Linked DNA regions of Oreochromis niloticus. The protein of the gene in region 2 interacts with the protein of the main gene of each other region in a pairwise test. Links are inferred from orthologs where the notes say so. Each region holds a gene or a part of one and is shown on either strand. Other genes may lie near its edges.

Region 1 (3,754 bases), on a different chromosome or scaffold from region 2:
AGGTGGCTGGGGAGGGGAAATCTGGGCATGGTCTGCTCAGACTGCTGCCCCTCAATGACCCAGACAAGCAGCAGAAAAGTGGATACATGGAACAGGTTTTTTCCCTTAAACCAAGAGGTTTGTGCTGATGAGAGTAAATGTGGTCCAAAGTATCGACTGAGTCAGTTTTGTGGTCATTTTAAAGTAAAAGGACAACAAAAGAGCATTAGAAACATCTCCATGGATATCCATATCCACCAGCAGGACAATGACAAGGTTTACCAAACAGCTAATTAAAGTCACTTTTCCAGCAACTAGGCTAGAAAGTGAAACCAGTGCACAAGTGATAAAGGAATGAGGTTACTTTCTGTTAAATTCAAACACAAGCCGATTCAAATAAAGTGCTAAGTAGTCAGACTTCTCCTCCAGTCATTAACCAAGTTCAATCTTCCTGATCAGAGTGCCAGTTGTCATTTTGAATTTAATGTAATAATTTTATCTAGATATAAAAACTCACATCTGGGTGTAGTTTGACTTTTGTAAATTTAATTGAACACTCTAAATCCTTGCTCCGATATAAGACTAAACCACGTCTTCCCACCCCCGGTAGTACTCACCCTCCTTTCCAATATCTCATTCTTCAGCTCCGTCATCCGATTCGTGTTCCTGGCAAATTTATTGATCTTTTGCTGGTCTTCAAACGTTACATTCACATCTTCAACTGCCTGCAAACAAGGAGAAATGACTTGAGTTTGCAGTTCATTTTAGCCTGTTAAACATGACAATCTTACATGCCCTGACAGAATTTAGCTCATTCTGCTATGAGTTATAAGTATTGTTCAGCAGCAACTTTTCCAAAGATGAAATCACAAGCATCACAAGGACATGTCAACTGTGTTAACTGGGAAAAACAACAACAACAACAACAAAAACCCACCACCTTATGATGGGAAAAGCATTTAGTAAGATCAAAATAAGCCTTATAAATAAAGAATGTGTGTGGGGTTTTTGTTTTTAAATCAAGCCTAAGGAGTAAAACCAACGAGCTGTGTTCAGTTTCATTTAGAGTGACCAAGTGGCCTACTTTATGCGGGATTGCACAATGTTTTTATTTTTCACCTCCTGTCCTGGACTTCGAATTGGCCCCAATTCACCACAGCACAGGTCTGGCTTTTAGTCGACTATGTATCGAAAAATACCGCAAATAAAAGTTATGTGGTGTGATTTTGCTGGCACTGCACTGCAATTTCCCTTTTGAGAGGGTAAAATAAATAAATAAACTATGCATTTTTTATTTGAACCTCGAGATAGGCTATATCTGTGAACCTCAAAAACCTGTAATTTAGTTGATTCGAAGTGCTAAAAGAAATTTATCAGTGCATTCCTCCTCAACACAAAGATTATTAAGAGGGGAACAGCAGATCAGACACCAGAACAAATTCTAAACAAGTACTGCAATACAAGACTATTGCATTAAAAAAAATAAAAAGCAATAGCTGGAAAGTTGTTTGTAATGGTGCATATAGATTTGTACCCGTCAGTCACATCCTCTGCAACCCGCATAGCTTTATCACACTGCCTCTTAGCATTACCGTGACCCACATTGTCCAACACATGAAAACCATTTGCTCCACATTTGGCTCGTTGTGATGTGGTCGTCCTACTGTGCTGTTGGCCCGTCAGAAGCACTTAAATATCATTTGAACGAGACTGAGCAGGGTATTGGTCATTCATTGGGGACATAAACTGCTTTAGCTTGTCGTTTCTTAGACAGTTAACTACAGGCCAGTTTTTATTTTGTTTGCTAGCATGCTAGCTTGGGTGTCCCATCACCTGCAGCGGCCACTGCCCTGATCTGGATATTGAGCTCATTATTTCACCACATAGTTTTTAAGCTTGCACGAACAACAGCTGCAAAATTACAACGTATGTCGAGCTAGTGTTTTAACACAAGGAGGTATCGCTTTACGGTAGCTACACGAGGGTGTGACGGCGCTTTCAAATATCACCGCCGTGAGAAAGCTCGGCGTCTTAATCGCACACATACACGATGCCACCTTTCTTTCTGCATCCCTTGTTAAAACAGCGATACAGTAACAAAAATTGCAAGACAAAAAAAGTGGATTTTTGTTTAAAAATATTCCTCACCACGGACGATTTCATGGTCGCTGCCATCTTTGCTTCTTCGACTGTTCACCCGCAGCGTCGCTCAGCGGAATAAATATCCCCACACTGCCACCTATCAGCAGGCCTGATCTGGAGTTTGACCCCCACAAGTTGGCCAGAAAATGTGTTTACTTCTCTCAAAATGTTTGTTCAGTTCTTTTCCTTCTTTTTGAGTTTTTGTGTGATTGATTTGATTATTTAGTTGAGTTCATGTTCTGGTAAATATAGTTAGATATGTCGCAAGGTGCTTTCCCTTACATTTACATCTAAAAGCTGAAATTTGATTTATTTAAAAAAAAAAAAACAGCATTTTTTTTGTTCTGTTGTAGGTAATTATCTCAATAAATGTGCAAACGTGCTTTCAATATGCCAAACTAGTTATTATGCCAACCGGAACTGCTGTTCTGTAAATATTTGCACACAGTACTGCACCCAAGTTCAAATATTTAATGAATACATCTGTAATGGGAGAAGACTAGAAATTCATATTTGTCTAAACCGAATTACAATGCACCACCTGTAGTTTTAAGCATCACTGGCGTTTTGGTCTGAGTGAAAAACAAATTGTAAATATGCAGGTTTTTCTGTCTCAAAATCAGCAGTCTTTATCTAACTTTGTAGGAACCACTAGCATACCTAGTAGGCTGTTATGCGTTGGTGCACCATGAAGAGCTTTCTTGAGGCCCCTCAGCTGCAGGCCTTGCATGAAGTCACCAAACAGGGGAATCCAACTCCCACCTCAGAATGCAGTCTATAGGATACAGTCGAGCCATTGTTTTCATGGATTCCAGGGCTTGCCATAATAAAGTCAATAAATAGTGCACATGTTATAGTCTTTTTTAGTTTGTTTCTTAAGCATGCTTGTTTGTGATAAAACGCATTCACATACTTTGATTGACTTGCATTAACAAGATGTTGAATGATTTGACGTTTGACGTCCTCCAGGAGTCGAATGACTTCTAGAAGTTAAATCCAATAAAACAAAAGCCTTTGTCAGCATTATCATGGCCTATTTACTTACAAAAAAAGCAAACATAAAGATGAGTTCATCTTCAGTACCATATTGACATACACTGATAATCAATAGTATCTAACTATGGACACGTGGAAGCCTTTAAACACAGACATTTTGACATGATTTTATCACAAAGCTTGTTACCTGCCTTGATGACCTCTTTTCTCTTTTTTAATCAGATAATACCAAAACAACACAATGGGTATGTTAAAGCACATCTGTGTGAATAGATTTATTTTTATCAATTAACTGCATCTTTAAAGACTAAATCAGTAAAAAATGCTAAAAGTGTTCTCTTCAATTTAACCAGTGCCAACATAGTTGTTTTGGTTTTGTCAGCGTGGATGCTTGCCAGACCGGTATCCTTAATATCCTTAATCCTGTTAGGTCCCCGCCAGATTGGTCAACAAACTGTTTGGACCGCCTTATCACAGTGGGCTTGGACAGATTCACACCTCATTATGATCTTGTCAGGGTATTTTCAGGATGCCACATGGAGATTACTGTGAGTTGATCAAAGCACCAATACAGCGCACTTTTTTTTTCAGAGGAAATCCAACTGCCAACGTGAAAACAGACCCACCCATTTTAACA
Region 2 (3,754 bases):
AATGAATTCAAACCAATATTTGTTTGATTCACTTAACATCAAATCAAATTACAACAGGCTCAACACACAATTACACTGGTGTCACACAATGGTAACATTTTAAAGTTGGTTCACAACAACCGTACGCACCTTCTTCTTCTGCATGTGTCGTAGGATTTCTAGCGTTTGTCTGATTTGAGGGATCTGGTTTTTCAACCTGCGAGCAAAGAGATGTGATTTGGATGTTATTATGAAACGTGTGTGTGTGTCCTTATTCGTCTAAATTCTGCTGATGCCCTTCTTTAAACAGCTCACTAAATGTCTTTAATATCTGTCCAAATCTTTGATTATCACTCAGAAATGATGTCCACCAGCTGATGGTGTCCCATATTAACACCAAACTCTAATGACCTGTCAAATCTCTGTCTAAGCCCATAACAACAAGGTTAAGTGTTCCTTCACTGGTGTCACCTGAGTTTCTTCTGAGACAGGTTGAGCTCCATGTATTTATATTTCTGGTACTGTTCGTCCAGCCTCCTCAGCACCGCGTCCGCCGTCTCATTGCCGGGCTGCTTCATAAAAGAGTCGACATCCTCCTGAAAATCCAGGCAAGAGAGAAAGAATGAACCAAGATTAACTAACAATGAACTAAACAATAACAATAAACCAGAAAGCAAACAGTTGAGCTGGTTTAGGCATCAGATTGGGATGCCTCATGAGCGAGGTGATTTGGGCACCAGGACACACTGGAGAGATTATGTACTACCTCAATCCCAAAGCAGTTGGGATGAGGGCAACAAAAGTGGTACTAAGGAAGGAAGGAAGGAGGAATGTTTTATAACTAATTAGGTTAACTGGCAACAGGTCAGTCACAAGATTGGGTATAAAAAGAGCATGTTAGAGAGGCAGATTTCCTCAGGGTTAAATACAGGCAGAGGCTCAACAGTCTACAAATTGCGGAATCATTTCAGAATAAATTTTTCTAATGGCATCTTCATGCCATGTTTTCAGTAAGTTAATGTTAAGAAACTTATGAAGTCAACTCTTCTGTAACAAAAAACATTGTACGTTATGGAATAGCTGGTGATTTGGACGTCAATGAGGACAAATAAAAGGCAACTCTAAATAAAGAACAACATTAGAACTTTGCACTCAAACTGCCTGCTGAAGATGCAGGAATTAGTTTTACACCAAATTACTTCATTACACTGTCAAGATGTTTAATAATCAGGCCCCATGTATCTTAAAGACCTCATAGTACCATGTCTTTCAAATTAATGGCCTCTTAGACTCTTACTGGTCAGAAACACTTCATTTCTTGACAAGGCTTTTATTGTGAAAGATCTGTTGGGACTTGCAACAGCTCAAACTGTTTCCACCATAAAAATCTGAAACAAACACATGATAAAATCACATTTATAATATCTGTGAATCTGATGTTCAGCTTTTGATAGCCGGTTAGAAATGTACATGTGCTCATCACAGGTGAGTGAGGGATAGAGGGAGCAGAAACGGGGAGATTACACATCCAGGAAGCAAAGCTGTGTGAGGAAGACATGGTGGCTGACAGGTGGAGATGGAGACTGTACATTAAACTGCACTGTGCTCTGACATGCACATGCATGTAGGTACATGTGTGACTGATACTTTACCAGACGACTACACCTCAACCTGTAATCGACTGACCAGGTCTGGTTGTAATTGGCCTGTATTTGCTCAGCAAAGGCCAAAGAACATACATGAGTGAGGATTTGCAGTGAAATAAGTGATGAATTACTGAAAACTAATTGCCTAAGATGCTTTTAAGTAAATGAAGATCAACATTTTCCAGTTTTGGTGGAGTTTTGAACTGCTGACCTGATGAAACAAACACACTGAGGACACGGCAGTGGGCTCTGTGATATAATGCACACTCTAAAGGAGAAAAATAACCTGCAGATCACGTGACACTTAACTTTGTGCTGTATTTGCAGCTGTCAGGAGACAGGACACCTGAGAGCAGTAGCTCATATATGTTGGGACGTATTCACTATACACGTTAAATCTAAATGTGCTCATCTTACTGCCTGATTGTGCACGGAGGAGGCTAATGTCACCAAAGCAGCCTCCAGTTAGACTGATGTGTGGCTGGATGAACTGACCTAAAGCCTAAAGAGGAAACGAGGCAGAGTGACAATAATGCAGTGATGTCCATAGATGGAAACGAGCTGCCGCCCAGCCTGCACACACAGCAGGCTTGTCTGTTAGCTTAGCTGTTAGCCAGCATGCTGCACCCGCACACCGGAAGCTACAGCTACAAGTGTGTCTTCAGCGGAGTAATAACAAGTCAAACCAGCGACACAGCGACAAATGTCCGGGTTTACCCACCACAAAAACCGCTTCTGGGATCCCGAGGTGCTTTCTCTTTGTCGCCCCTACGGCATTGCTGTTGTCTATGATCGCTGCCATCTTGGAGAGAGGATACTCCTTCCTTCCTGACGTACGAGCATGCGTACAAGCGTCTTAAGCGGGGAAACAAGACTCTGCTGCTTCTAGTGGTCACAGGCTGCAACTGGAGTAACACAAAAGGCTCAACGAGTCTTTTTTGAATCAAGAACCTTTTAATGTCACACATAATAATGAAACATTATTAATGATTTATAATAGTGTTAGTAACATGATTACAGCATTCAAGGCACATATAAATCCAGCCACCTAAACAAAACATAATTACAGTACTGTGAAAAAAGTGTAGTCATCCCTCATTCCTCTGTATATTACTTCCAAGGAACGAGACTTTTTTGTAATTTTTAAAGTGCTCTTGAGCAGTAGTTTTCCCGGCTTTCTGAGTTTTTCTCAGGAGATCAGCTGCTTTTTCATTTATTTTCAGTCCAGCCTTTCTACCTGACCATTGATAAGCCACATAACACTGCTATGAATTATTCAAGCATAAAAAGGCTCAAGGAAAGAATCAATTTGTGGCTGTACATAACATACTTTTTAAAATCTTGTCTTTAGGCACTTGAAAAATGTTAGTGATCACACAGTTTAAGAGGGATAAGATGACTTCCAAAGAGCTGTTAGCCAAAAACCTGCCACATCCCAGCATGATGTGCAGGGCGTCCTTAAAAATAGAAACTGGACAAGTGGAGGACAAAAGAACAAGTGACAGGCTTAAAAAATGAAAAGGTCAAAGGATGCCAAATTACACAAGAACTGGACTGAAAATCAGTAACAAATGTGTCGTATGGAGTGATGAATCAAAACTTGAATTCTTTTTGGTTTAAATCGTCATCAGTATGTAAGGAAACTTGGGTTTGTCATGGTTTGGGGCAACATTTCAGCCAATGTTGTTTGGGGATTTTGTCAACACTGAGGGAATTATGGACACCGAAAAGTACTGTCAGGGAATATCATCTGGAAGTCATGTTTTTAATAAATCTCCACACCTATCTGCGTTTTCTCAAGTAAAATATAAAAAGCAAACAGAAAAGTGAAGAGTAGATTAACTCGAGAGCTCACGCAATATAAATTCAATATACAGTAAAACAAAGAATTAAAATGGAAAGGATAAGAAGAACTCGATTAGCATTTATCACCAATAATTTAAGAAAAAAATCTATTAATATGCAAGCTTAAACAGAAATGGGTCCTAGTAAAACACACAGATGCATTTTATATTACAGTTTTTCAGTCAATTCAAAACATCTCAAATAAAGTGGTTTAAATTTAAATTCTAACTTTTTGAGAGACAAAGAAAAAGTCATTATGGTCAAGAAAGGTCAAGGAAGATATC

What was found. The genes of interacting proteins can lie anywhere in the genome.
Region 1: the proteins of vbp1 (region 2) and pfdn4 interact in binary tests that used the Homo sapiens proteins (3 or more experiments, as listed by UniProt). The link is inferred for Oreochromis niloticus from reciprocal best matches to the Homo sapiens genes VBP1 and PFDN4.

Annotation. Positions count from the first base shown.
Region 1 is NC_031984.2:7,714,432-7,718,185, reverse strand, and holds the start of pfdn4 (prefoldin subunit 4), read right to left. Parts: upstream 2,266-3,754; 5' UTR 2,155-2,265; coding exon 2,128-2,154; intron 705-2,127; coding exon 597-704; intron 1-596. UniProt on the Homo sapiens protein: Binds specifically to cytosolic chaperonin (c-CPN) and transfers target proteins to it. Binds to nascent polypeptide chain and promotes folding in an environment in which there are many competing pathways for nonnative proteins.
Region 2 is NC_031967.2:30,268,454-30,272,207, reverse strand, and holds the start of vbp1 (prefoldin subunit 3), read right to left. Parts: upstream 2,491-3,754; 5' UTR 2,428-2,490; coding exon 2,347-2,427; intron 576-2,346; coding exon 451-575; intron 197-450; coding exon 130-196; intron 1-129. UniProt on the Homo sapiens protein: Binds specifically to cytosolic chaperonin (c-CPN) and transfers target proteins to it. Binds to nascent polypeptide chain and promotes folding in an environment in which there are many competing pathways for nonnative proteins.